Linked DNA regions of Drosophila melanogaster. The protein of the gene in region 1 interacts with the protein of each later gene in a pairwise test. Each region holds a gene or a part of one and is shown in the gene's direction. Other genes may lie near its edges. The genes, in order: spd-2, cnn, ana1 and asl.

What was found.
Region 2: the proteins of spd-2 (region 1) and cnn interact in a two-hybrid assay, tested with the Drosophila melanogaster proteins (2 studies listed by BioGRID).
Region 3: the proteins of spd-2 (region 1) and ana1 interact in a two-hybrid assay, tested with the Drosophila melanogaster proteins (one study listed by BioGRID).
Region 4: the proteins of spd-2 (region 1) and asl interact in a two-hybrid assay, tested with the Drosophila melanogaster proteins (4 studies listed by BioGRID).

What each region holds. Positions count from the first base shown.
Region 1 is NT_037436.4:16,590,002-16,596,731, reverse strand, and holds spd-2 (spindle defective 2), read left to right. Parts: upstream 1-1,717; 5' UTR 1,718-1,765; coding exon 1,766-1,850; intron 1,851-1,911; coding exon 1,912-2,668; intron 2,669-2,729; coding exon 2,730-5,328; 3' UTR 5,329-5,525; downstream 5,526-6,730. Other genes in the region: Apl (apollo), read right to left, coding at 1-413, 473-645, 1,133-1,198; tra (transformer), read left to right, coding at 5,689-5,728, 5,977-6,380, 6,438-6,587.
Region 2 is NT_033778.4:13,446,380-13,453,072, reverse strand, and holds the start of cnn (centrosomin), read left to right. Parts: upstream 1-2,597; 5' UTR 2,598-2,714; coding exon 2,715-2,899; intron 2,900-3,672; exon of another isoform or gene 3,673-4,076; intron 4,077-5,744; exon of another isoform or gene 5,745-5,840; coding exon of another isoform or gene 5,841-5,941; intron 5,942-6,693. Other genes in the region: Golgin97 (golgin 97), read right to left, coding at 43-282, 338-751, 1,047-1,145, 1,198-1,983, 2,075-2,248. UniProt on the Drosophila melanogaster protein: Core component of the centrosome throughout spermatogenesis. May participate in mitotic spindle assembly and the mechanics of morphogenesis through an interaction with microtubules, either directly or indirectly. Is a target of several homeotic genes.
Region 3 is NT_033777.3:24,529,031-24,538,445, forward strand, and holds ana1 (anastral spindle 1), read left to right. Parts: upstream 1-1,545; 5' UTR 1,546-1,755; coding exon 1,756-1,884; intron 1,885-1,961; coding exon 1,962-3,571; intron 3,572-3,648; coding exon 3,649-3,772; intron 3,773-3,828; coding exon 3,829-7,155; 3' UTR 7,156-7,365; downstream 7,366-9,415. Other genes in the region: CG6607 (uncharacterized protein), read left to right, coding at 1-473, 533-622; CG13623 (uncharacterized protein), read right to left, coding at 791-1,166, 1,228-1,271; Cftr (CF transmembrane conductance regulator), read right to left, coding at 7,889-8,192, 8,257-8,953, 9,019-9,415.
Region 4 is NT_033777.3:5,602,736-5,610,179, reverse strand, and holds asl (asterless), read left to right. Parts: upstream 1-3,636; 5' UTR 3,637-3,733; coding exon 3,734-3,850; intron 3,851-3,906; coding exon 3,907-5,739; intron 5,740-5,804; coding exon 5,805-6,839; 3' UTR 6,840-6,944; downstream 6,945-7,444. Other genes in the region: Rga (regena), read left to right, coding at 299-548, 1,161-1,730, 2,023-2,227, 2,332-2,496, 2,588-2,807; SecS (Sec synthetase), read right to left, coding at 7,015-7,190, 7,250-7,444.

The sequences.
Region 1 (6,730 bases):
GTATGAGCGGCACAGCCTTAACCACAATCTGCTCAGCATTACTATGTCCACTTACGAAAGGCAACAAGAAGCATGAACCGGTCAGCATGTTATGCACGGTGGGTGTGGCCATGTTCCCATTCGCCTCGGCGGTAACTAGAATGCCGGCAAGCAATGGGAACATAGTATCCGTGTGGTCCGAAAACTGATCGGGAGCAGCGTCCATGAGCGAGGAAAAGATTGAGCTGCCCCGCTCGCTTTCTATTGGATCGGGGCTGCTGCAACGTTCGTAAATAAACTTCAGTATTTCCTCCCTCCAGGAGTTTTGCTCGCCCTCCTCGTGGCGCACCAGCGATCCAATTATAAAGGCCACCGTGCCCTTCACGGTCTTTTCCTTCACCGCGATGAGGACCTGTAGCATGTTCGATTTGATTCTAAAAAACATGCATCCGTTACTGTATCATAGTCATTAAAAGGTAACCAGTTAACTCACGCTGCCTGGTGCTCGGCGGGAACCAACTGCCAGTGGCGTAACTTTTTGACCCGCCTCTTGAGGAGCACGGCGGCGACCTGCCGCTCTTGGACCGGCCTGTCCGACATCACGATCTGGGTGAGAACCAGCAGAGAATCGGGATTCTCGTAGGCCTTTAGCATCTTGGCTGTGGACTAAGGAAGCGAAAGAAATGGAACTTTATTAGCGACTTTTATGGCCCTATGCTATCATGCTATCAACATAAGTAATTTTTCAATTAGGAAGCGACGAAGTGTGCGTCCATTCGAGCAATGTAATGGTATATCCACGAGTTTAATGCAAATAAAAATATAATATTAATTAATTATTATTAATTATAATTATTTTTATAATTTTTATAATAATTTTTTTTAATAATTATTATAATTATTATTTATATATAAATAATTATTTCTAAAAAAGTGCAATAGTTTTCGGAAGTTTGTTCTGATCAAATAGAACATTAAACATTAAATTAAAAAAAAAAAAAATATTATACACCTATTTTTACAGCTAAGTGTGGATTCAACTTAACTGATCAGACAAACGTGAAGCAGTCAGAAAGGAAAGCATACATGAAAGACATCCATTGGCGCCCAGGATAACCTCCTTTCTTATTGCCGGATGGCCCGCTTTGCTCACCTCACGGATTCGTTCCGTGTCTATGGTCAGGATCCCGTTGATTATATCCAGAATAGCTGCCTCCATTTTTGGGGAGTTACTGTTCGCGCCCAGGCGGATAATCCAATGCAATCCGGTACAAATTGCAGACGACGTTACGCGGTATTGAGAATTGAAAAGTGGAATACCGGGGAGAAATCCCCGTCGCACGTTTTGCGCTTGTTGCAGTTTACAGTTTATCGTAAGCTTATTTTACATTCTACTCTTGAATTGGCTAGCGGTTATCATTGCGGTTTAACGAGTGGGGATGTAACGTAAATTTATCTCGCGCAGTTAATTGGTGACTTGTGTTAACATTTTTCTTTAATATATGTATTTATGTTTTTTTGTTTATTATATATGTGTATTTATGTTTTTTTGTTTATTGTGGAGTTTTGATATATGCGCTAGCAGCAGTGATGCAGTAGAATACTAAAAATATTTACATTTTTGACATTTGATCGACCGGACAAGTAAGCAAAGGCCGCTTCGACACTAGTATGCAGCCCTGGATCTTTTATCATTTATCGACGTCCATTTTTGATCGAAGCGACGCGCCTTTTTTTTGTTTTCGCGTTCGCACTGCAAACTGTAACTGTTTAAGGACAAAGCGGAATGGACAGTAGCAGTGGAAGCCAAGGAAATGGCAGTTTCATGGACCAGAACTCGCTGGGCATCCTGAACATGGACAATCTAAAGGGTAAGCAGGTGGAGCACGCCGGAAATAAGCCGAAGCAGCAAGTAATCCTCATTCCCTACAGTCTTCGGCGACTTGTCCAGCTTCAGCAAAAGTGGAAGGAGGAGCGGCACTGGTCGGGACTCTCCCGCCGTCCACGAGCGGCTCCGAGAAGAACGACTGCGTGCGCTGGAGACACTGGAAAAGCCCCGACCGTCGCGTTCCAGCCAAGCAAAGAGCACTGCCCTCCAGATGCGCTTGTCCACAAACATCTCGGAGCTGGTAACAGACGACACCATCGATCTGAACAGCAGCAGCTCCTTTGCTTTGGTCACGCCCGCCACCAAGGGCACAAACATCTCTTTTGAGCCTGCGGAGATCACCGGCAGGTCCACACTCTGCCAGGCGGGAAAACAGCGCCGCAGGGAGAAGCCATCCCTGTCGGTGGCCGAAATTCTAAAGTCATCCTTCGTTGAGAAGGCTCGCCTGTTGGAAAGGAAGCTGCAGGATGCCAGTCAGGCGGAGGCCAGCTATCACTTATCACGTGGCAGCTCCAGCAGCCTCTCAGATTCATTCAACTGCTCGCGCAGCTTACCGCGCACTGCGGACATGAGTGAACTGAGTCTTAACGGAGGTGGGGGATTTTCCTTTGGATCTGCCTCGTTGGCGGCGGAAGGCCAGGATGAGAGCTTTGCTCCCGCCGAGCTAATGCAGTCCAAATTGGTGCTCGGTGAAATCTCCTGGGCGCAGGAGTTCACGGCCATGCCGACGGCCACGTTGAGCACACAGGCGTTGAAGAAGATTGCCGCACCAACATCCGAGATAGAAACCTCGGTGTCCAAGTAAGCAACATAAAATAGTCTTCCAAATATAATTTGATCAACTTTCAACTTTTATTTACAGTTCTGTCTTGGCCGGAGATCCAGACTTTTCGCTGGGCAACTACTTCCAGACGCGTTCGGAAAATATATGGAACATTGTGAGCAATAGCAGCCCGAATCGTTCGCGAACCAACCAACCGCTATTGGAACCAGAAAGTAACGTGACACTGGATTCGGTTGGCGAGAAGACCCCACAGCCAGACAATAAAACATACACTAAAACGGATGCCATAACTGGCTCGAATCTCGGACGCAATCTTATGCGTAAGATGCAACAGGATCGGATTGAAACTGCGCTAAAGAGCAGGAATGGTCTGGCAGCCAAAGAGACCAAGCGTCCGCCGTCGAGCTCCGAGATCCTAAGTCTCTCCGCGATCGACAAGGCGCTAAGGGACATAGATCTCAATTCGGATACATCCACTGTAGAGGTTGTCAACCACCTGTGGGAGCATGGTCGTGGAAACAATTATGACGATGGGGAAAACAAGGAGAACCAGAGCAGCAACTCCCATGCGGAGCGCACTTCGTGCGGCTCCAACAAGCTTACCGACACCATGAGTTTCACGGACTCTGTGCTAAACTCAACGGATTTTCGTCATTTGCAGCAGAGCATCTCGCGCAAGCCGCTCAGTCCGCTGGCGGACCATCCGCAAATCACCATCAGCCGTGCGGACACCGATCCCGTAGAGACAGAAGCCGAGGCGGACATCGATGAGTGGCCCTCGACGCCGGTAAAGGAGCCTAGCCGCAGAGTGAGACGTACTAAGATTTCTCCAAGAGCCGCAAGTCCGTCGAGTAGCGACGGCGTACGTCCACTGACCTGCACCGAGGATGAAAACGATGAGGAGGACGAGGACAAGACGCCAGTGAACAAGAAGAGGGTTTCGATCGCTACAATGGGCTTGATTCCGCGCAAAGCCTCCTCCTTAAGCAGCACTCGCTTGGATGGTTGTGACGTTGCCGTGGCCTCTTCTACCGAACGTGATTTTGGCATTTCACCGAACCTGGCCAAAAATCTATCGCCCCTGTCCTCGCCAAGAAGCTGTCTCTCGTCGCCGCTGCTGGACAGCACAACCAGTTCCGACCGCCGGCAGCTCATGAGTGGAGCAGCCCGCAAAGCAAACTCCTCGCCCGCAGGTAGTGAGGCCAGTTCCACCAGCGGATTCACAGCGAGTGGAAGACGTGGGTTGGGAACCAGCTCTGTTGCAGTGCCACGTAGTATTTCGCGCTGCTCGAACTCTAGTGAGTTCAGTCATCGCGATGGAAAACTGCTCCCCCTAAAGGTGACCCACACGACCCTCTGTTGGGGAAGCACAAAGCTGCGGACAGATGTGCGTAAGTCCATGCAGGTTAAGAACACAGCGGACAAACGGCTGGTCATTCGGCTTGGCATCCAGGGACCCGGATTCCAGCTGGTGGGCACCGACAGCAGCACGATCACACTCCAAGCCATGGAATGCCGCTCGGTAGTGATCAACTTTTGCCCCACTGTCTGTGGAGCGGCCATCGGAGCCTTGTCTTTCTATGCACCACCAGGAGCGCATAACAGCAACCAGCCGGGCCTAGAGATTCCGTTGTACGGCTACGGGGGCAGTGCGTCCATCACCATAAACGGTCTGCTAAAGGGACCGGTGGGCGCCAGTTTCCTTACCATCGGCGATGTATGCGAGCTGTCCGCTGGTCCGCTTTCGGCGAATCTCAAGTTTCACAACAAGGGCCCTCTCACCGCTTTCGTTGGTATATCAGTGGACTCCACCGTGCTCATGAAACTGCGCCTCAGCGAGGCCTTCGAGGTACGTCCGAGCCGCTTGATATTGCCGCCAAATAGCGAGCGCTGCGTGCAGATACTTTTCCGACCGAATCGTGAGGACTTGAAGAACATACTTAAGAAGACCGCACAGGTGTTGACCCTGGCCAATATGCGGATTTTCTGCGGAGACGAGCCCAACAGACAGCGTATGCGTAGCTTGGTCCAAAGGATGAGCAGCCGACAGCGAGAGAAACTCACATCGCCGATGCTGGACAGCATTTGGGGCGAATTTCCGGACGAGCAGCCAGTGCGCAACATCGGTCAGCTGAACGAACCGCCAGAGTTTATTCTGGACTTGGTCACAGTAGTGCGGATTATTGATGTTGCGCTTACCCTCAATCGGGACTTTGATGAATCGTCTGAGAGTTCCCTGATGTTCCTGCCGGAGGCCGACGAAACCGTGCTATTCCGCACCATATGTGTGGCCAATTCGCCGACGCCAACGCAGAGCCATCTATTGGAGCCAGTGGATGAGCTATTGGAGGCGGACACCACAACGTTGACGCCCGTCGAGCAAAACTGGTGTGTGCAGCCAGGTTTGCTGGAATTCGGAGTGGGCTGTTCGCCACTGGCCACTTTGTCCGTAACCAACAGCTTCTGCTCCAGGCAGCTCATCGAGGTCACATGCAATGTGCCCGATTTGGTGCGAATCAGTCCCAGTGAGTGCTACGTATCCCCGGATGGCGGCCACGCGGAGATCGATGTGCGCCTGCTCCGCTCACCCAGGCAGGATTTGCTCGAAAGGGAGCCGCTCATTGTGGTCTCCATGGAAAACGAGCGCATCAGTGTCCCGATTAGTTTTAAATTTTAAAATTTGTTTTATTTGTGCCTGCTAATTCTGCTTTCCCTATGTTTGTGTAGTTAGTTTAAACAAAAATTGTATTGTGTACTTGTGAAATGAAACCGTGTTTGCAGAGTATTTGTAAGGAAAACGCATAACCCTAAAGTTAAAATACTCGCTTGTTTCCTAAAAGTTGAATTTAGCTTAAATAAAAACTAATAAAGTATATGAGTTAATTTTAAATTTTGATATGTTGCTCTCGAATATTCAAAAAGTAACGTATATGTAGCGATAGTTCGTCGAAAAGTGAGTTGGCGGGCACATTGCAAGGTGCAAGCCGAGTACGGTCACACTGAGGAAAGTGCATCATTTAATTTCCAGCATTTTCCGATGAAAATGGATGCCGACAGCAGTGGAACCCAGCATCGAGGTACCCACTATATAGTATAACCGATCTGATCAGATTCTGATCCAGTGCCATCTTTTTGTTGTTTTTTTTCTAGTGTCATATTGTGTGAAATGTGAAATGGATGAGAATGAACGCTGGACGACCAGACAGAGAAAGAGAAGCTAGGACAATAGGACTCTCAACTGCGCATTACGTGGATTCCGTCTCCGACGATGCGCCAAACACTATGCGTTAGATGCATTGACTAACCGCACACTCTTTTCACATAGATTCCCGTGGCTCAAGGTCTCGATCCCGGCGAGAAAGAGAATACCATGGGCGATCAAGCGAGAGGGACAGCAGAAAGAAGGAGCACAAGATTCCGTACTTTGCAGACGAGGTTCGAGAACAGGATCGGTTGAGAAGATTGCGCCAAAGAGCGCACCAATCCACCAGACGCACTCGCTCCAGATCCAGATCACAGTCGTCCATCAGAGAGAGCAGGCACAGAAGGCATCGCCAGCGCTCTAGGAGCCGCAATCGCAACCGAAGTCGCAGCAGTGAACGAAAACGCCGTCAACATAGCCGAAGTCGCAGCAGTGAACGAAGACGCCGTCAACGGAGCCCGCATCGGTATAATCCTCCGCCAAAGATCATCAACTACTATGTGCAAGTGCCACCACAGGATTTCTACGTTAGTAGTTATTTGTATTGAAACAAATAACAAATCTAACTTAAATCGATTTTGCAGGGGATGTCTGGTATGCAGCAAAGTTTTGGATACCAAAGGCTACCACGTCCTCCGCCGTTTCCACCGGCCCCCTACAGATACCGCCAGCGACCGCCGTTCATTGGAGTTCCGCGATTTGGCTACAGAAACGCGGGGCGTCCCCCATATTGAACATACTCCATTCGACATAATTACAAATTTATTTACATTCGTGTGTTTTGTACATTAAAATAATAAATACATATATATTTCAAACTAAAAATGGAGAACATAAAATATTGCAAACGGAGAACGTTGATTAAATCATGAGCAAA
Region 2 (6,693 bases), on another chromosome or scaffold:
GAAATCGAATTAATTATACAGGAAACAGATGAAATTGCATACCTCGCGACTGGTCAAGAACTTAACAATTACGTGTTTCAAATATTGAAAATTAACTTCGTCCATTATGACGCAATTTCCCTTGTCGCCAGTTGAAAATGCCTCCAGCGATGAACTTGAGATTCTGTGACCTGGTGTCGTTGTCGGATGAGATTCACTGTCCGTGGATATCTGCGCACTGCGTAGTTCCTTCTGCACTGTTTTTTTCAAGTCAATCAAACGCTGATTCAGTGTTTTTATTGTCTAGACAGAAAATTGGTTAATAAAATTTGCCAAAACCATTCATAACAAATCTAACCTTATTCTTTTCGATTATTTCCAACTGAACTCGCTCGAATTCGGTCAACTTGTCGGCATTATCCTGTGCTGTGCTGCTGACCTGCTGCAACGTTTGCCGTGCCTCGGATATATCCCTCACCAGCTGATTATTCCTCTCCTGGAGGTCGCTGGCTTCGCTGCGCTCCAAGCGCAGCTGTTGCCGTAAAATGTCTTCGCTCTGGGCGATTTCCGCATTGCGAAGTATTGCAGTCATTTTCTCCTCTCGTTCGATTTCCAGTTGCATTATGGTTTCGTCCAGCTGCTCCTGCTTTTCAGTCACCTGAACCCGTAGCTTTTGGGCCACCTGCTCGGCATTCGAGGAGTACTCGCTGAACCTGTCATCCGCTGCCGTGAGACGAGTCTTGAGATCTTTTACCTCTGTTTCCAAATTTTGCTGAGAACATTCGGTTTATTGGTTTACAAAATCTCCATCAATCAGTTTTGGATATTGAGGGTAAACATATATATGCGTGCATTATTGAAGGAAAAAGTTTACCAAAAAGTTTGCCAACGATTAAATCAGTTTAATACGAAAAGGAAAACATTTACAATCAAAAACTACATAATAGGTGTGGTTGGAAAATTCCAAGTAAACCAGGAGCTTAATTGGTAGAGTTAGTACTGCATTGTTGGTTAAATTAGTGTTACAAGTCCCAATGGAAATCGTCAGAATCGGGAGGCATACTCACAGATTTATTGCGCTCAAAGAGGACTTGCTGCTCGTTCTCCTCTCGGCACTCTTTCAGGGCCACACTAAGTTCATCGATTTCCTCCTCCAGCAGCTTGACCTGCAATTAAAGTGCATAAGTATTGGCACATAGGTATTACTATCTAACCTACCTTATCGTCCCGCTGCTTTATTTCATCTTTGGCTTTTTCGAGTTCGAATGATACCTGCTTGCGGCTTTCAATGGCATCGTCGCGGGATTTAAGGGCCTTTCGCTTTTCGGTGGTCTCTTCGGCCACTTGCTTGGATAGACGACTAACTTGGGTTTCCAGCGCCAGATTCTGGCCACTCCACGAGCCTTTGATGTCCGACAACTGCAGATGGGCCTCCTCTAAGTGCTGTTCCAGCAGTTTATGTTCCCGGATAAGGGCTTGCACTTGTTGCTCGGAGTTCAGTTTGCCCAGAGACTCGAGTCGCGACTCCTCGACGATTTTCATGCGCTTTTTGAGGTGCCGGTTCTCCTCCTGTACAGCCGCCAGTGTTGTGGTCAGCAGATTCTTCTCCTGCTGTGTAGAATGTCGCAGTTGCTCTAGTTCGTCGCGTAAATCTTCGGCCACGGATTCAATGGGACGCAGACGTTCTAGTTCCTCGCTCAAGGACTCGATTTGCTGGGTCTGCTGGCGCATGAGACCCATGCGATCCACCGACTCCTGCTCCCGAAAGCTAAGCAGATTCTTCAGCTTGTCAATCTCGATTTGCTGTAGATTCTGAATCTTCTCCTGCTCCTCGCAGTATATGTCCTTCTGCGTCTGGGCCACACGCACACTCTCTAGCAGAATCTCGTTGGTCTTGTCCACGCGCGTCTTCTCCTCCTGCAGCTGCTGCAATCCCTGCGTGACGGTGGACAGCTTCGTGGTGAGCTCGTTGCACTGACTTCGCAGCTCGCACAATTGCTCCGACTGCGAAAAGAGTGAAGGTGTTTGTTTATCCGTGTTTTTGTTTAATGTGTAAGTATACACAAATAGACTGTTTTTTTTTCGCTCAGTTTACCTCATTGTAGAATCCGCCACCGCCCACATCATCAGCTGAGTTGGAATTAATGCTAACGCGGCGACTACGTAGCCGGTAATTGTTGTTGTTGTTGCCGGGATAACGTTGATTGGCTGATTGGACCACATCATCGCCAGTTTCCTCCTTGATCTTGTTTTTCAGTGTAGCAAACATTGTTAGGTTTTTCGAGGGGGGAGCTTTTTCTCTGTTGCGCTGCTCTATTTTCTGTATGTGTACTGCCCCCGACTGAAGTTGGCCTGCTTGTGGCTGGGGCTGACGAAAACGTGCCCACAGAGCGTTTATAGCATGGCGTTATATCTGGTGGCCGTAGTGTTCTACTTGCTTATCAGGCGAATGCTAATTTTCGTAAACCGTCGATGTTGTTTACCATCGATAAGAATCGACTTTGCAGTAACGTAAATCGACGAACAGCGTTGCCATACCGCTGTGTTAACTTTTTCCCGTTGTACGGCAGTGCTGCCAGTGCGCATGGCAGCATTTCGATAACTGACGCCAGAAACAGCTGTTCCAGCGCGCTTCATTTTCCAAACAGAAAAAAAGTGTAATTGTTAGCGTCCTTTGTGAAATTGTCAAGTGTTAGAATTATTGTGTGCGAAAGTTAACTATTTGAGGACCTCCCATGGACCAGTCTAAACAGGTTTTGCGGGACTATTGCGGCGACGGCAATGGTACCTGTGCATCGTCCTTGAAGGAAATCACCTTAATTGAGACCGTGACCAGTTTCCTGGAGGAGAATGGCGCCGCCGAAATCGACAGAAGGGTCCTGCGCAAACTAGCCGAGGCACTGTCCAAAAGCATAGACGAGTAAGTCCAAAACACTAGCATAAACAATAGCTTACCAATAAGACTTGTGTGGCAAATCCATCGAAATCCCTGGCAACTGCGAGTGCGCAGCAGATGATCGCCATGTGACATGGTGATCGTGCCCACTGTGATCGGGAACTAACGCTCTCAGCTGGAGCTCTCCCGCATCCGTACTGCTCGGCCCCATAGGGGGAGGCATACTCACAAGCACAGGCGTACAATGGGCGTATTACCCACCCCAAAAAATTCGAAGAGAGGAACAATAATACATCTGCACTGAAAAAAATTTTAAAGCTAAATTTCCATCAATATTTATTTTAAAATGTTTTTTAAAAACATTAAGTGATTTGGATTAATTTACGATTTTAAATGAAATAAGATTTGTAAGGTACTCTTATAAGATGTACTTTTATTTTTAAGATTGTATGCTTCATCACTTTTTCAAATGCTGAATAGAGTCAAAGTTTAATACATTTTTTTATTATAATCTTTAGATTTACTATTACTATTCTGATTCCTAATGAAAATGAAAATTTAAAAGAAAAAGAATTGGGAACACAAATGTAATCCCTTAAGTATACAACAGATATTTCTGTATTCTATTCGTAGCCAATGAACTGAGTTTGCTGACCGCTTTCTCGCTGTGTACGGCATTGGGAAATGCGTAACATCTGCTGAGCGCATTTTCCTTTTTCCTCGCAGATGAGCCCGAGTTTTCCGCCCGTTTGCTGCTCTGCCTTTGGTCGCTCTGAATCGGTCGCATCGCAGTTTCAGTCAGTTATGTTCTAGCTTTCGGTTTATTTGGACGTGCAGAGAGCGTTTTTCGGTTTATTTTGCTTGCCTCTCGGCTATCAATCGTGCCATATGTACATACATACATATCTATATACTCACTTACCCATATATACATACATATATGTAAATAGAAACAATCAGCGGGTCAAGCGTTGTGCGGGTGTGTGAGTGATTGATTGTACATACATATCTGTACATAAGTGCAATTGTTTATATTGCACTGCGAGATACAAAAAGTGATAGATTGATTTGTAATTTATTGCATTCGTTGCTGTGGATAAGCGATTAGTGGGATGCTGGTGGTTCTCGGATGAAAAACAAAAAACCAAATCGAAATACACAGATATATAAAGTACAAAGTGTGCTCGGATTTACAATAAATGTAATATATACTTAGAAATACTAAAGATATCTGTGCTTGTGCCCCCTGATGCTGCTGCTGCTGCTGTTGTTGTTGTTGTTCGTTTGTCGTTTTTGTCGCCACGATGCTGCGGCTAATTTTAGTCGGAGAAAAAGTATACGAATTAATTTGTTTGTGAAATAGAGCATTCCATGGCTCAATCGACAGCCGCAACAACCTATATCATTATCTGCGTTTTCGCACTTCCTGGAACTCTGAATTTCGTCACAAGTCGTCTTATCAGACTGCAGTTTCGTCGTATGCTCCATGTGTGTGTGTGTGGGTTAGTTAGTTATATACACATGTGCATTCATCAGGGGTCATGGACTCGTGGAATTAACCCCTATGGGGTAAAAACCGAACAGAGCACCTCTTTTGTTGCCCTTCCAAAACTGCAACGCTGACTTCCCTACCCTCGAAAAACAAAGCATCCTGGTTGGTAAAGTACAGTATCGTTTGTATGATATGTAATTTGAGGGATCATAAGTAGAATTTATCATGCAAATGGCTCATTTAGTTTTGTTTTTATCGCATTCATTTAAATTTAAATAAGGAATTAAAAAAAAACACACTTTAGTCATAATTTAATTGAGTAATGTTATATTTTATTTCTTATTCAATTGAAATTTCCTTTCTAATTTTGAACAATAAACATCTTGCATATTTTATGAATGTTTTGATTCGATTTATGAATATGAGTGACATTTGACATCCTGTTCAAAAGCCTTCAAGATTCAGTGCGTCCTTCGTCATATGGTTATTGTCTTAAGATGCTTTCCTCGCATATCACTCGCTATAGTCTCGATCCACTTCTGTTTATTGTTATTGTATTTCTTTGTTGATTAAGGCAGGCGCCTTTGTGTGTCGTTGGCCATAGTTTGACACCCACTCGAGGCGCGCCAGGCAGCCAGGTAGATGAGTCGCGTCTGCGTTCCAGGTGAGGTGAGAATGGGCTGTTAACTGCAGTTTACCTGTCGATGTGAGGGCCCTAAAATGCATTCGCGGCAAAGTTCAGGTGCTAAACGAAGAGACACATGTTCCGGCACGGTTCAAAATGCACACCTGTTGTTCCCAGTGACCAGGTCGCTCAGCTGTCGGCTTAAACCATTGATTTTCATTACCACCATAGTAACCAGCGATAGCCGAATGCCAAAACAAAACAATGAGTGAAAATGTTTGGCAGAATTTTCTTGTCCCGTTCACAAATTGCTGTTTCTAATGCGGTCGCCGTTTTGCTGTTTGCTCAATTCCCAAAATAAATAACGACCAGAGGCGGTGCGTGGTGCAGTGTATGTGGTGGTTAGTATCTTCAACGATGCGGTGGCCCACATGTGCCGTCGTCCAACCCCCCGTCCTGTTGGGGATGCATCCCGTCCGTAGGAGCGCCAGACTCTTTGAAGACTCTTCTTCCGCTCTACGGCTGAATGCTCCTGATTGCTGCTGCGCACGTCGCATCGCCCAGCAGCCCATGACTCATGGCTGCCCGTCCCTTCGAAGACGACATGGCGGATACGTAACGAAGTTTGGCGTGCGCCGCGAAAGTATTTAGGGAATAAAGCCAAGAACAACAACAACAACAGCAGCCGCAGCAGCAGCCAGGAATGACGTGTCCACCCCGTGTAAAAGCAACTAATTAAATCTCAAAATTAGAGTCGCTGCAAATATCTACAGAAGAGAACTGAAGGAAAGTGAAAAGAATATAAATAAACGCTAATAAGAGCGCAAATGTTAAATGAAACATAGAATATGGCGGGTATCTTTCGATCTACCTCACTAAATCACTCGTCGGATGTACCTGGCACCCCATTCAAGAGATACTCTCTGAATTCCAACAACTCAACATTCTGGTAGGTTATGTATTCTATAATAGTTGGGCTCACTGTATGTAATCTATAGCCCCCCTCCCTGTTCCCCGATTCACGGCGGATTTAAGGCGCGGAAGTGTAATCTCATCCATTGCGACTTGTGGTTTTTGGAAGTGTGATCATTCAAGTGTGACTTTAGCTGAAATTTAGTTCACAGCGCAATTGGGCGAAATCGAATAAAAAGAGGTTGATTGCCGATTTGGGCAAATATTGGGTGTGTCTACAATTGATAGAAAAAATGTACGTTGCGGATCATAGTTTTAAGACGCTATTCATAAGGATTTTTATATCGATTATATGGATTTCATTTTAAAACTTAACTGGAAATATTTCGAATGGGATAGGAATAAAAAGGGATAGTTCCTTTTTATTAATAACTATTAAAAATCATTTTGGATGATAAATCATTAAAGTATCCCACTGTAGGTGTTCATTTGATTGAAAATGTTTCTGTTACTTTTCCGCAACAATGAACATCTCGTGAAAACTGGGTAAATCTCTTAATTAGACAATATATCTATGCTCAAAATAGAAATCTCAATCGTTTCCAGTTTAGTTTTTCGTACATGGAAGAAATGTCATTAATTAATAGTAGATATTTAGTATTCAGAACAAAGTGCAACGCAATCATCAAACCTTGTTGCAATTGTCCGTCGATTTTCCAGTATTTAATGCCAATTTAAGTCATAAGCCGGGCCAAATAATGTAAACCGGTTATAGAATCGGATTAAGCG
Region 3 (9,415 bases), on another chromosome or scaffold:
TACACAATCTCCAGCAGCAGTCGAATAGCAACCAACTCACCTCCGAGGATCGCATTGCGCTGCTCGAGAAGGAGGCGGCGCATTGGAGGGCTCAATTCGAAGTGGCCAAGCTGCATCAAGCATTTGTCTCGAACCCCAGCAAGGATCTCAGCACGTGCAGCTGCAGCACGGCGGCGGCGGGCGTCACCGTTCGACCGGCAGAGTCGGAGGCGAAAGGCAGCCAGCGGGCGCGGGATTCGCTGCAGGATCCCCCCGAACCGCCCACCAAGGAGCAGCTCATCTACAGTGTGTTCAGCAAGAAGTTCGAGGATCTGATGCGACTGAAAGTGCAAGCGGAATCCAAGTTGCGATCCTACGAGCTGGAGGTTCAGCACCTGCAAAACTGCCTGGAGAACGCAACGCACGAACTTAAGGCCAAGGACGATCAGTTGGCCAGTTTGGGTGGAGCCCTGCAAATGCTCGAAGAGGAGTTGGTGAGTTGTGCCTGCAGTTTTGTGCTCTTAGAACCAAGTGACATCTCGGATTTCCTTAGACTACGACGCGTATTAACTACGAGGAGCAAATCAGCGTGCTGACGGAGCAGGTCATCAGCTTGAGTGACCAGCTGGCCGCCTGCAAATGAGCATGGACAGCGGCGCGCATCCCGCCCAGCTGCTTTACTGTATATTGTTGTAAAATAACTAACTGGGAACGCCCGCTCCCCCTCTACCCTGTTTTGTTATTGTCCACCCTCGACGTGTATATAACTGAACATTCTATGTGTATTAAATAATTCTCTAAAGTTTAAAGTTTACAATTTGATTGAGAAGGAGGAGCCGCAGGAGCAGCCCTGTTCCGCCAGCGGATTGGCCACCATCCGGAAACCGGCGCGTATTAGTTCGCTATGGTAGTCCACGGTGGCGCCGCTGCAGTACTCCAGCGAGACTGTATCGATCACCACCTTGGCCTCAGCCTCGCCAAACTGTCGGTCATCCTCGTTCAGCTGCTTATCCAAATCGAATTTGTACTGAAAGCCGGAGCATCCGCCTCCTTCGACGGTCACACGCAGGAAAGATCCATCCACGCAGATCTCACGGAGCCGTTTCAAGCAGCTCTCGCTCACCTGGACACTAAGTTCGGGATTCGCGGATGTGGAAGCGGTTGCATGCCGCATTAGGATTAGATTTCTATGGAAGATCAAGCATTTATTGTGGGATTTGTCACGCAATTTTTCCTAGCTTATTTCACCTTTGCAATCCGCTCCTGGCCACTTGTCGCAGTAGGAACGCCATAATTTTACGATTTCACAGCCAAAAAATGTAATTTCAATATTTCTATTTACTATCTCGTAATCCAAACAATTTCAGCTGATTTCGCACGATAACGATAGGTGTCGATAGTTCGATACATCCCAACTGGGCCATCTAGGCTTGTGTACATGCTGTTGTGATGTTTTCGTTTTCAAACTGAGTTTATTGTCATGTAGCTTTCAAATTGCATTCATTAAATTTTATAATTTAAAAAAAAACACGTAGTTTTTCGATCATTTAATTTCCGAATTTGTATTGTGCCTTGAGTGCGTGCTACTTACCAGCTGGTATATTTTAGACGCATGTAAATTCTAGTACATTCAATTATTCATCTACGGTCACACTGCCGCTTGGGAGGAATTTTTAAAGACGTTGGGTTGTTTGATTTTACGCTCAAACTTGTTTCGATTTCTACTGCGTAAATGCTGCCCCACATACGAATTTATTACATATATCGATAGAGCAGATGGCTCTGCAGCTAACAGTAAATGGAAAGTTCGGGGCCAACCTGAGGAGGACCATAGGACCACTGGACGATCCAGAGCAAGTACGCAAAGATCTCGAAAGTGAGCGTCGCATAACCCGTTTGAAGCAGGTAACTTGTCCCTTGGGTTCCGAGCCCATTGCGCAGTAATTGTAACACAAAGCGTGACCACTTAATTTTATAACCAGGTGCGGGAGAAGTCAAACCACCTGGCACGCCAGATACGCGAGGATGTGGCTGCCGAAAAGAGGCGTCAAATCCACAAATTAGAGCAGGTCAAGCAAAGGGAGCTAAATGCGTGGCGTGAGCATGTTTTGGTCAAAAAGCACCAGGACTACCGTTCGGCCATTTTCCAGGTGGGCGCCGCCCATCGCGCCGCAAAGGAGGAGAACGAACGCATCGAGCAGCAGAGGCAAGAGAGAATCGACAAAATCCGAAGGTGTCGCAAGCAGGCCTTGAAAAGATCGGCTAAAGCCAGCGTTGAGTTGCGGACCACAAACACAATGAATTTAAATGCGGAGGGACGTGCCTCGGCGGGAACACAAACGCCCATAGTGGAGGACAAAGAAAACCGAATGGAGAGCGGGTGTAACAAACCCTGTTGCAAGGGCAAGCGCAAAAGGAAAACCAGCTGTGGATGTGCCAGCACCGATGCAGAGGATGAGAAGGAGGATGACGCATCGTCCGATGACGACTCATCCATCCTGATCATCGAGAGTCCGAGCAGCAACCGGCGTCTCCAAAAAACTACCCCCGTAATCCTAGACGTAGAAATCGAGGAAACCATTTCTGAAACCGACAAGAATCCCGAGGGTATGGATATAAATGATAGGTTCATGCAAACCAACCGGAAATTCAGCCATGTCGTGCGACCCAGTGATGATGAACCCCAACGCCGGCCGAGATTCACTCAGATCAGCGATTTGGTAAGAAAAACCGAGACCACCGTACGAGCTGGGCCAAGTCAACGAAGGGAAGCAGATCCTACTCCACCAGTATCTGCCCCGCCTAGTCCCACCAAATCCCCGCCAAGATCGCCCAGAAAATGTGTAGAGCGTGAGGAGCCCGTTCCTGCTCCAGCACCCAGAAAATCACCCACTAAAACAGCTAAAGGATCGCCGAAGAAAACTGTGACGGCACCACGTAACCAGCCATCAGTCAAAAGAACGGGTTTAAAATTAAATCCAGCTCCTGCCAAGGTGATAGATGCGGGAATACACAGAGGTCAGAAGGCCAAAGCTCCAGCTACGCTGCCCAAAGTAACAGCTATACAGAAACCAGCAGTGGAACCTCCTCGAAACCTTCCACCGATTCCAGAACAGGCTATGCCAGCTGTGCCAAATCCGTCGATGACCCATTGTTATCCCATGCCGCAGAATCAACCATACATGCATCCGTATGCTCAACTTCCGATGCAACCATATGCGATGCCATATTCAATGCCATTTCCCGTGCAAGCCCAGTTTCCACAACCTCATCCGATGTATGCACCGCAGCAAATGATGCCGAATCAGCCAGCTGTACTCGGTCCCGCTATTACTGCTCCACCGAGCACTGCTACGCAATCCACTGTGTCCACCACCACAATTACCATGTCCTCGCGACAGGACCCAAGGACGACTCAATGTGGGCGTGTTCAGTTCTATGATCATAGCAATAAGTACCATAGAACGTACGAAGCACCAACACAGTCGGTGCAGTGCAATGAGAAGGATGCCACCCAATTGACCGCTATGGATCATGCTCGCATCGAGAACCAGCTGAGGGATCTGCGGGAACAGGAACTGGACAAACTGAGGTAGTAGCCAGTAAAAGAAACAGAACACAGAACTTATCTTAATGAATCAAATTGAAATCAATAACGTATTTCAATAGGAAAATTAGTGACGATCGTGGTCAAAAGGCTCTTGAACGCGAGCAAGTGCGTCGGGATTGTGCTGAATTAACGGAAAAGCTAGATGCTCTAACGCAACAGCAACCGCAGCTCTTGCCAACCGATGTAAGGAAATCAAATATTTTTCCTCTTTAAATAATACAAACTCATTTTCCCACCAGGCTAACATTATACCTAGCCATCGGTACGCGGATGCAGCTGCCAGGCGAGAGCAAAAGATGAACGATGCAATGGAAGAAATGCTGCTTCGACCAGCCATTATCACCTGCCCGGAAGTGCGCACCAAACCTACTCCTCCAAACTTATCGCGCAGCAAATCCAAAGCTTCTGTGGCAGTTAATTTGGGCGAACCTCCTGTTCAAATCGGCCGGGATAATCTTGGCAGCTCGGAGAGCTGCAGCTCCATTCTTCTCGACTACGTTAATGATCAAAGCAAGCAACTCAAGTCGGACCTGCAGGCCGAGCAGTCAAACTCACTGAAATCGATGAGGCTAAAGAGTTTGCTTGAGCGCATTGAGAAAATTCGAGTCCAGCTGTTGGAGGAACTGAAGGCGGGTGAGTCAGGTGCATCAAAGGGTGACAATGCACAGGAATTGAATAATATACGTCAGGAGCGAGCTGATATTCTATCCGAGCGAACGAGAACTTTAAACGAACGAGAATCTGATTTGCAACAGAAGGAGGCTATTCTCGAGCAGCGTCTAAGAAAGTTCTACAAGGAGACAAAAAACGCAAAATCCAGTGAGAGTGATAAGCCAAAATCAAACGCAAAAGAAGATGGGCCAGTTGAGATCATTATTAAGGTGAGGAGTGACGGTACTGTTAAGCAATATGTACCGAGAACAAAATCGAAAGCCAAAACCAAGCCGTCGGCTATCGACAATGAAAAGGATGTGCCCCTGGGCTCAACTGACAGCACACCAAGAGACGATGAGCCAAAGCCGACGGAACAGGATCACGGAAAGCGACCATTCTTACAGGATCAGCGTCAGATATCCATTGATTCCAACTCCACTGCCTATCGCAGTCTGCCGCCAGTGAGCTATAAAAATATGACCACGGCCGCTCCCCCTTCTGCTCCATTACATCCCATGGTGGTTCAATATATAAATCGTCTGCTAGGAATGACACGCCAAAATATCGATGAGATGGGTGTGAGTTCCTCGTGTGTGACCACACCATCAACGTCGGTGATCAACTCATTGAGAAACGTAACCCCTTGTCCCGAGCCTGAAGCGGGAAGAGCTGAAAGGGATCAGGATGAAAATACGGAGATGAACGAGCATCGCATGGAGCGGGTGCAAACCTTTATTGCCGACAATCGCAGCTTAATCAATGACTTGGAAGAATCAATACGTTGCCAGCAGCAGCTGCAAAGGGAGCAACAATCGCTGGATGCAGAGAAAAGTATGCGCGCATTCGATCAAATATGGAACAAGCGTTTGGCCAAGAATCCTGAAGATTGTCAGCAAACCAACAAAGAGAAAGAGCAAACAAGAGAAAAGATGCCAAGGGAAAGGCCGACTCCACAAGGAGATAGGAAAAATGCAGCACCTCCACAGGAAAGCGGCAAAATTCGTAGAACTCAAGAAGGGGACCGGCAGCAGCAAACAAACGGTGCAGTGCAACAAAAAAGGGAGCAAAAGACTGTAAAACAAGGTTCAGGCGCCGATAAAAGCACAAACCGCTTTGCCCCCGAAAAATCGAAAGCACTATCCACCAGTGAGGAGTCATCTGCCCGAAACATGGAACGCTATGCACAGCTCACGGAGAACTGCACCCAGCGGATCGCCGAACTTACAGAGCTGATCACGAAAGTGCGCGAGGAGAAGCAGCGACTGGTGGAGGTCACCCTCACATCGAACAGCGATGGCGAGCGGCAGTCCACTGAATATCTTGAGCTTCCAACAGGACAACAGCAAACCAGATGCCGGACAATTTCCGATCGCAGCGATTCTCAAACACCTTCGACCTCGGAAGCCTTGCCGTTGCAGAAGCACAAGCCGACAGCGGCCAGCAGGGATAGTGGCATTGCGGACTCACGTCCAATTACGGCACAGGGTCAGGTTTGTATCGATGTGGAACCCATCTCGCTTGGGTCATCAACGCAGAATAATACAGCACGCGGACGAGTAAGGGCACCTCCGGCCACGATTCGTCGGTATAGTCCTCAACTAAACGCCGAGGATCTGGCGCACGAGCTGTCGACCATTACAGAAGTGGAAACGCCAGGACAATCACATATTGTGGCCGCCACACCGGTGCCCAAGCCATTCCCTAGTTTCGATCAGTATGCCAAGGAACTGCACTTAGATCTGTCGCGGTTGGATGCTGATCAGAGCCAACGGCTGCAGGGCGAATTTAATGACTTAATACTCGCGATCAGGCAACGCAATCAAGGAACTGACTACCGTGAGTTTCCTAGCATTAATGCCTATCTTCATAACATGACTAGCACCCGAATCCATGTGGAGATAGGTCAGGATGCAGATCAGGCCACTCTGTCACCGGGTGAACTGATGCGACAGCTGCGCGTGATCACTCATAGTATCCAAGACTTTCCCAAGCGCAGGGAATACTTTGAAAAACTTATGGCCAAGCAACCACCCGATCAGAGGGATCTAATAGACAGTGCTAGCTTAGAGAATGATTCCACGGATTCATTTAACGTAGAGGAAGAACTCCGCCAGCGGAAAATTCTAAAGAACTCATTTCGTCGAGGAAACGCAACTGAGACCACATTGACGGCTCAGGAGGTGGCTAGCAGTACGCGGCGGGAAAGCGTCGCCCCAGTGACCAACGATCAACCCAACGAGAGTGGCATAGATCCCCTCTCCGGCAGCAACTTTTCCAGCGACGCGGATCAGAGAAGTCCGTGCTGGCATGCCACAATGCATGAGAGGCAACAGCAGGTGGATGAGTTGTGCAGCAGTACCACAGCCTCGTCGCCAGAACGGCGGCCACGAAAGTCTCGGCTTCGTGGAGGCCACGAGCACAACAATAGGTCTAAGGACGATTCCACTGTGCAGGATGCAAGCCAGATAGGAAGATCCCTTAATCTGAGGGAATTCCTTACGAGAGAGCTCCTCAAACATCGAGTGCACGACGACGTTGCCAGTGAGAGTTCAGATGAGTCCTTAAGGGGGCACTTTCTGAAGTCGGTCCTACATTCGCTCTCGCCCAGCAACAACACGCAAACGCCAGGAGTGGGTGTAAGCCATGCCACCGGAGCAACAAACGACAGACAAAAGACATCCACACCAGTGGGATCGTTCCTCTCCATTCCAGAGAAGGCCGGGTCCATGAGTAACACCGGCTCTCAACTGTTCTCCGGGGAGAGTCGCATCTCCCTGGTTAACTATCCAGATGGAACTCCACCCATTCCTTTTGAACAACAAAGCAAACTTAGTACAAATCAAACTCGCCAATCCTCAGGTCAAATAGGATCAGGTGTCAGGACAACGCATCGAAAGTCGCCCCGAAAATGATCGCCGAACTTTTAATTCGTTTGTTTAGGTTTTAGATTATATTATCCATTTTATGACAATTATTTATATTTTACTTACTTTGCAATTTTGTGTCAAAAAATGACTATCGAAAAAGATTGTATAAAATTTACTCAATAAGTTAAATGTACAATTTTATTACCAATTTGTGTGAAACTTATTTATATTTTAATAAACCCGACGATTATTTATTAAATTTCTATCTAGAGTTTCAAGTACAATATTTCGGTTGTATGAATATAGACTTGCAGTAATGTACACAATTTATAAACAATATATATATTTGATGGTCTAACTAGTGAGTAGATTAACCCACTGATCCTTTGAGGACCTCGGTGTTTCAGTTCTGGTCCGGTACCAGAATGTAAGTAGCTTTTGTCATGTTGTAAGTAAACATCCGATTCACTGGCGGTCTACAATAGGTTGGTGGACAAATATTACAACGTAGTCCCTGGTGGAGATTACATCTAAGTACAATACGTATAAGGCAGTACACATTCTAGACTTTTCGTTAACAAACTTAACTAAACTAAGGAAATGAAACATTGATAACATAATATGTGTATGTGCACAAGAAAATCATTTTGGTACGGTTTTTGTTTTGGACAAGATTCCTCTTCCATTGGGAGCCCAAGAGTTGTAACCTTGAGCCATTATAAGCACCAGATTTGGTTAAATGCGATTTCCGATGGATATTTTTTTGGGCCACCGTTTCTCACTCCTGGCTCTCATCCTGATCGCGATCTCGCTCGTCCCGTTCTCTTTGCATTCTTTTGTGGCTGTCACTGGCCGTCTTCTTCAGTGCTTCCGATTCCCCGCCTGTGGCCTCTACCATTTGCCGGAGATGTCCCTGTGACTTCTTCAACAGCAAGTACGGCACATCGAATTCCACGGCGACACCAGCATCCATTACTATAATCCGATCCGAATCCATGACTGTGTGCAATCGATGGGCAACGGTGAGCACTGTGCACTGCTTGAACTTGATGCGTATGGTGCGCTGGATCAGGGCATCGGTTCTGCGAGAATAGATGGGTTAGAAGTTAGTTCTGGAGATATAGTAACTTTCGTTCTAGGACTCACTGTGGATCCACATTGGCCGTGGCCTCATCCAGTACCAGCACCTTGTTGTTTCGCAGAATCGCCCTGGCCAGGCAGAGCAATTGACGTTGGCCCACGCTGAAATTGCCGCCCCTCTCCGTTACCATGTAGTCCAGACCGGGAATGGCTTTACGCAGCTCCACATCTTCCAAAGCGCTCCACAGCTCAGCGTCGGTATACCGCTCGAAGGGGTCCAGATTGTAGCGGATGGTAGCGGAAAACAGTACCGGATCCTGGGGTATAATCGAGATGCGGGTGCGCAGAATTTCCAATGAAATCGTTCCCGTCTCTATGCCATCGATAAAAATCTCTCCCTCGATGTGAGCCAATCGGAAGAGAGCTCCAATTAGCGACGATTTCCCAGCTCCTGTACGTCCCACAATGCCAACCTTCCAGCCCGCCTCGATGGTGAGATTCAGGTTCCTAAGCACCGGCGATCCATTTGGATCATAACGACAGCTCATATTGCGGAACTCCACCTGACCGCGTGTGGGCCACTGCTGCGGTGGCGTTTTTTCGCCCAGCGCCGGCTCCTGCTCCAGTTCGGTGTATTGCAGGACGCGCTCCACGCTGGTCATTTGCTGCAAGGACTCGGCCACTTGTCGCACTCCATATTGCACCATTCCGGTTAGGATCATGGCCTGGGCAATGGCCAAGCCTACGTTGCCGCTATAAGTGGCTAAAATTAGAAAATATACCTATTAGTTTTGTTCTTTTTAATAACTTATTTCTAATAGAACTCACTTTCACTGGAGATAATGAAGCTGAAGGTGACAGAGGTAAGGAAGATGCAACTGACACAGTCCAGCCACAAGCCTAAAGTCGTATTCACTGCCATGGTCAGCTGCCACACGCTACTGTGCACATCCTGCAGCAAATCAAACTCCTTGGCCACCACATCCTGCAACTGGCGGGATCGAATGATGGCCAGACCCGTAAGGGAAGCACTGAGATGGGAAAACACCGGACTGCGGCATATGCCCTCCAATCGCTTGAGATCCTGCGAAGGTCTCAGGTACAACTTCAGGATGAGCACATCCACAACGGCTACCACCAACATGGCGGCCACCAAAACCGGATTCAGTATACCAATAACAATCAGAATTCCAAACATCACCAGAGCGATCTGTATAAAATCCAT
Region 4 (7,444 bases), on another chromosome or scaffold:
TCCAACTCGGTCTTGTCCAAGATACTCAAAGTAAAACATATAACAATATCTATATCCATTGACTGTGGGTTTAGTACTTCAATACTTCGGATTGCATCAGAGAATCGTATCGCTGATCGATCAGATTTATATAAAGGAAATATTTTTGATACAACGGAATATACATTAATTTCAGAAGTTACAAATGCTTTCACATTACATAAAAAATATACCCTCTATTAAGATTGAGTTGGAGATGTCAGTCCTAATTCTAAAAATAAATTGTTAAGACTTGGCTAATCATTATCTCTTTCCGCAGTCGAACATGGGCAACTTCATGCAGACGGGTCGCGGCGGCTACGGAACGGGCGGAGGCGGTGGCGGTCCTTTGAATAACTTCCACGTGTTCGGCGGCGGCGGTGGTAGCGACACCTCCACGCCTGCCCTGCTCGATCCCACGGAGTTCCCCTCGCTGACGAATGCGCGCGGCCAGAACGACCAGACACTGCCCCAATCGAATCCGCTCCAGCCGCCGGGCAGCAAACCCTATGGTAATTTCTTTACCTCTTGTGAGTTCAAATCAAAATCCACTTCTTTTTATTTATTTTTGTTTTTAAAACTACGATTAAGAATCGGTTGTAAGCGTGGTGTCTCGTGATCAGCTCATTAAGCCCACTTAGATATGCTACGCTGTATTTGGGACTAACCTCGGGTGTTGGTTTGGGTATGGCAAACGCTGCAAAAACTAGATTCAGTCAAGGACATTTACTTTGGCTACGTTGGTCCAACCGAATACGGGCTTCTGATTCCATGAAGAGCTTTTGCAATTTAGAGTTTGAAATGAAATTGTGTTTCCGGATTATACTCCAAACATATTATTATATGCAATCTCATTTACTTTGAAACATGATCAATGAATAAAAAGAAACTGTTCACATAAAGCAAGCGACTTAACCTTTTATAAGTTCATATATAGGTGAAGGATAACTTTAAATTCACAGTAACATGTCTTAAAACCTTGAACAAATGCTGTTTGGACCTACTCATTGATTTTAATTGGTTGAGGAAAAAGAAATTAACTAAAATCGTGTGTATTGTATGAGCTTAAACTGCTTTAGTACTAATTTCTTCGCTTCACTCATTCGCCCTGGGCGACCATCTCGCTCCTCTTCTGATTTCAGTTGGCATGGTGAAGCAACCGACGTCAGAGCAATCGGAGTTCACGATGTCTAACGAGGACTTCCCTGCGTTACCGGGCACCCAAAACTCGGACGGCACAACGAACGCGGTGGGGAGCGTCGCCGGAACAGGAGGCTCCGGAGGTGCGTCCACAGAGAACCACTTGGACGGCACGGAAAAGCCGATGAATTCGATAGTGGTCAGCGGATCAGCGAGCGGCAGCAGCGGTTCCAACGTCGGCGTTGTAGGCGGCAATGGTCTCGGTGCCGTTGGCAGTGGTATAGGGGGCTTGGCAGTAGGCGGCGGCGGAGGAGCTGGTAGCTCAGGAGGCGGAGGAGTCGGCGGCAATGCAGCCAGCGGCGTTGTCGGCGGGTCCCATGTAGGACTGGTGGGCAGTAACAGCGGCATTGGCGGCGTCAACAGCGTACCCAACAGCAATGCCATGATGGGCGTAGGCGGCGGCCTGGGGAGTGGAAGCGGCTCGTCTGGGAGCGGAGCGGGCGGCGAGCATCTGAACGATAATTCCAGCAACGATAAACTTGTAAAGAGCGGCGTGCAAACTTCGCCAGATGGTGAGTGCTGGAACACTTCTCACAACATGTGAGAGAGCTATTTTTGACCTTTTGATCATTTGGAGCTTTGAATTGAACACTCTATGGATGATTGATACCATTTAATCAATGGATTTCTTGGTTTCTATTATTATTTGTTTCATATTATAATTCGGTGATTTCGGTGTACATCACAAAAGCCCAACAGCTATACTATCCTTGACCCATTTTATCCAGAAATAATAGTACCATGAAATATTTTATTTATTTAAAAATGTAACAAATTTACCTTTCGTTCGTTTTGCATAAATAGGGAAGGTCACAAACATACCAGCGACCATGGTGAACAACCAGTTCGGCATGGTTGGCCTGCTGACGTTCATTCGGGCTGCAGAAACGGATCCCAATCTGGTGACGCTCTCCTTGGGTACGGATCTCACGGGTTTAGGCCTGAACCTGAACTCGCAGGAGAGCTTGCATACAACCTTCGCTGGCCCCTTCGTAGCACAGCCCTGCAGGTCAGTTTACATAATAAACTTACATAATTTAATTGCTTATTGAGTACTATTGAGTAAGAGGTGTACCAAATTAGTAACATTGGATTTGCATTTACTTTTTTCAGAGCACAAGACGTTGAGTTCAACGTGCCACCCGAATATCTGATTAACTTTGCGATAAGAGACAAACTAACAGCGCCGGTACTGAAAAAGCTGCAAGAAGACCTGCTCTTTTTCCTTTTTTACACGAACATCGGCGATATGATGCAATTGATGGCAGCTGCTGAATTGTGAGTACTTCCTCTTGCGTAGCTATTATCTAAGCTTCGTATGAACATATATAGAACATACATATATACTAAAATTCTGCTCCCATCGCAGGCATAGTCGCGAGTGGCGATACCACGTGGAGGAGAAAATATGGATAACTCGAATTCCTGGCATTGATCAATATGAAAAAAATGGTACAAAAGAGCGCGGCACCTTCTACTACTTTGATGCGCAAAGTTGGAAACGTTTGTCCAAGGTTTTCCAAATAGATCCCGAGAAATTAGATAAATGTCCCAATATAAGTGCGTTTATGAATGGACAGTCTGTATAAAATTAATAAAAATGAAAAAAATTGAAAAAGAAAGTATGCTGTTGTTTTTGCATTGCAACAAGGACACTCAACACTAACTGAATAATAAGTTTTATTATAAAAATTAAAAACAATCCATTTGAGTTTTTCTTCTAAAACGGTGTTAGGATATATATACATACATATATGCATATGTATGTATGTGCAAATTCTGGTACAAATTGCCGGTTAACAATTTAAAGCGATTTATTTTTATCCTGCTGGAGTCTAGTTGGTATTCATATTTTTAGAATATCTTTGAAATGTAACATTTTTTAGCTGTTCGATATTATGAAATGAGCGGACTCCCATTAAATTAAAAAGCAAGTTATATTTTTTCGATTCGTTGAAATGTATTTGAAAGGTAGAAGAAATTCTTTCTATAAAGTGATCCTATAAAAAATTACTGGCCGTGTCTGAAAATACATACCTGTCATCTGGACTAACACGACATACATATGTATGTATATTCCAATAGCAAATCTACTGCATTCTGCAATGCACAACAGCTCCCCCTATCAATGATACGACGGAACCATAGTTGGCATGATAATACATACATACAATATCATCTTCAAGCTTGTGTATGCCTGGCAGGTCTATTGTCGGGGCCACAATCTTTTCGACATATCGGCAACTTTTTGGGAAAATATTTATTTTTAAATTTAACAATTACAGTTTATGTACAAGTATAGAATAAAAACCTAATTCCCTTCTAGACTGTATGTAGTGTGAACGCAATGTTTTCGCTACAGAAGCGCTTACTGCACTTAACAGCACGCGTTACTATGTTAATGTCAAAGTGTCAACAGAAGCAAGAGGAAGAAAATTAGAGTTGCCTACGAAAATAGCGCCTGCGCCTCGGAATTTATTTGAATTTGATGCTTGTGGCGTCCCCTTAGCCGAATATGAACACGCCAGGTATAAGCCTCTTTCAGGGGGCGGATGCCCTTAACATAAATTCTACACTGGACCGGCAGGAGGAGGAAGAGGCGCTGCAGGATCAGAAACGACGCGAGGAAGAGGTAAGCGATCTGGGAATTCCTGGTAAACAATGTCACCGATTCCAATTCTACGCAAGCTTGGACGGATTATGGTGAATGCCTTCGACGATCTGCTCGATGAAGAGAACACAATCGACTCGACGACGAATTACCAGTCGGAACTGGAACAGCCGCCAGTTCTACCCAACTACCCATCACATCCGCACCATAAACCGCTGCAGGACGATGCTCAGCGAGCCAACGAGATCGAGATGCATCGCCTCCAGATCCTGCTGGAGTCTAAGAATAATGAGCTGCAGAATGTCAACCAGGTGGCCAACGCTGCGCACAAAAAACTGGATGACTTACAAAAGCACCTATCCATCATGCAGGCTGAGCTAGACCGCGCCATTCGCGAGAAGCAGAACACTCACGAGCTGTTGGTGGAGACCAAAGAGACGTGCTCCAATAAGGACAGCGATCTGGACAAGCTGCGGTCGGAAAAGAAGCAGTTGGAAGAAGATAACACGCGATTAGTTGGTCAATTAGAGGCCGCCAAGACCTTGCTTACGGACGTCCAAAGCAAATACGACATGGTGCAGGCCAGTAAGCAGAAGTGGGAGGAGCGGAACGCCGACCTACGTTTAAAGCAAATGGAGGAAGCGCACCGAGCCCAGTCCGATCTTTTGCAGCAGCAACTCTGTCAGATGAAGGATCAGCTTGATCGCAAGCAAAATGAGTTGGATCAGATAAACTCGCGCTACAATGCTCTGCAGTCTGGTCACGAAACAATGCTCGTAGATAAGGCTGCCAAGATTAACGAGCTCAGTCAAGCTTTGGATGAGGCCCAAATGCGCTGCAACCAACTAAGTGCAAGACCCGATTTGCAGGCTGAAAATCGTCGGCAGCAACAGTGCATCGTTGACTTGAAAGCCCGCATTGCCTATTTGGAGCAAACAGTCGCTTCGCTCCATGAGCGCCTAAACGAAACCACCACGGAACTTGACCTGATAGATTCGGTTATTCAACAGCATCAGGCGGACGAATCGCCTACTAGTCGGCTAAGTCAAATGGGTGGATCGCGCCTTGTTGGTAGCACACCGCTGAATCCTCTAGACAGAGTCGGTCACATTAAGCAGGAGTTGTATCGAGCTCTGGGCAACCTGAAGAACAAGCGGGAAGAAGTGCGACGCCTAGAGAAGCTCCTGGAGGAACGCAACCAGGAACTGCGCGTGCTGCGCGACCAGGAGAACCAATCCCTGGTTCAGCTGGAAACCCTAAACGAAGGCAAAATGCGGTTGGAAAACAAAGTGAAGGCAATGCAGCAGGAGTTGGAAGAGCAAAAACACAGATCACAGCAGGAGTCAGATGTGCACTCACAGCTGAATTCCATTGTGGCCGAGAGGGATGCACTAAGGGAAAAACGGCAGCAGATTGAAGAAGATCTGGAGCAACTAAAGCAGCAGAACGAGAGCCTTCAAAGAAATTACGATCAGCTTTCGCAGGAAAATCGGCAGTTGCGAACTCGAGAAACTGCAGACAACCTGCGCTTGGAGCTGGAACGCCACAAGATTCTGTTGAGGGATTCCCAGAGCGAGGTCGAGCGGCTTAAGAAACTCTATTCTGACATCGCCACAGACAAAGAGTCATTAGGCTATGAATTGAGAAAGCTGAGAGAATCGGACACGCTTAAGGAGTTGCAGGATCAACGCCAAAACTTGGCCACTGTTCAGCGAAACTTGCAGCTGGCGGAGATGAAATCAGAGGAGCTAAAAAAGCTTCTGGAAACGGAGAAACTCAGCCACGAACGTGATCTGCAGGCCTTGCGCCAAAGGAGCGAGCGGGAAAAGCGCGAAGAAGCAGTTGCGGTGGCCAAAGAAAGTTCCGAAAACTGCAGCAAGTGCATTGAAAGCATAGCAGAAATTACCAAGGTAAGCGATAACCTTTCAGACATGCTAGTAAACTAAATAATCTTATATATCACCACGGTTTTTAGGCGGAAATTCAGTTGTTGAAACTCCAGAATGTGAACTCAATGCAGGCCAAGGAACTGAAAGAATTGGAACACGCGCTGGAGCAGTCTAAAAATTTGCAAGCCGAGATGCAGGAAAAGATCGAGCTTTCAAACAAGCAGGACGAGCTCATTAGCGATCTTAAGGAGAGGGCCAAGCAATTCGAGGCGTACATTAGGCAGCAAGAGGAGCATAAGCAGCAGAATAAGTGTACGCCCAGTCCGAAATCAAACTCAGTTTCCCCGTCTGATCCATCGCCCAAAGAGCTCACCCAGAATCGGATAAGGTTGATCGAACAACGTGTTCGTGATGAGATGGCCAAACTTTTTGCAGCAGAACTCAAGAGGTTTACTAACCGGCTGCAAAAATCTGAGGAGAGGAGCCAGTGCCTCCAAAGGGAATACCAAACGGTGTGTGCAGAGCTGCAACAGCGGCAAACGGAGGTGGATCTTCTAAAGCAAACTATCCTGGCAGAACGCGAGAATATCGATGAAATTCTGGCCGGCAGGGAAGAAAAGCAAAAGGAAATGCTGCAGAAGTGCCGCCAGGAGCTGCAAGCGAAGAACCAGCGAATTGCCGAACTGCTCCGAGAAGTGGAGGAGCAGCACGCCAGCATCGACTCCGAAAGGCAATCTATGAAGGCTGTGATGGCTCAGTGGGAGAAACAGCGCCAGTCAGTCGACCAGGTGGAACACCACTGGCGCCAGCAGCTGGAAAGCTTGCGTTCCACCCACGAAGAGGCGATGCGATCCGCACAGCAGCGATATCAAAGTGCCAAGCGTACCGCCCACAATTACAAGTTGTATGCCGAGGACAAGGAGGCGCACATGAAACGCGAGTATGAGCGCATTAAGCACGAGTACGAGCTATCACTCGCCAAGATCGAGGCGACCATGAACCAGCACCTGGAGCGGCGGAGTCGGGAGAAGCACCGCGACAAAGAGAACGTGCCCAGCAATAGCAGCAGCGACCCAATCACCAACTCAAATAGAAAGCCCAAAGGCAATGGTCACAGCTAAGACTTAGGAAAATATATATATGTATATGTAGGTCTCTTTAGTGGGATATCGTTACTGCATGCACTGCCAAATTGTCTAAACAAATAAAAGTCGCTGTACATTCCTAACAAAATTGTGCTTATAAAAATCAGCTAAAAAAGTGAAAGTTTATCATTAATATTAAAAAATAGGTTTTTTATTTGATTGTTGTTTCTAGTAGGCTCATAATTTTTTCATTTTTAGTTTGAAAAATCTGGTTCCAGCACTTGTTGAAAATGTCGAAGAATTTGTCAATCTCCTCTCGGGTTATTCCAATTCCTGCCGCTACAGTCAGGTACGGAACTTGCAGGTTGCTGCGGTGGGAGCCGAAATCTAAGCGAAATATTCTAAATTTTAGTCGGAAAACAAAGACGATAGTGAATATTACTTGCCTAGAAACTCATGCCCGTCTATAGTTTTATTTTGGCCAGGAACTATCACTCTTGCTCCGGAAACTCCACGCATGTGTAGCATGGAGCCAAGCTTGGTGATGCTCTTCATCTGATCCCCAGCCAAAGTGGCCAATGTTATGGCCAAGGATATGGAGTTAAACCTGCTGTCTATAACAATCTCTCCGCGTGGCTCTG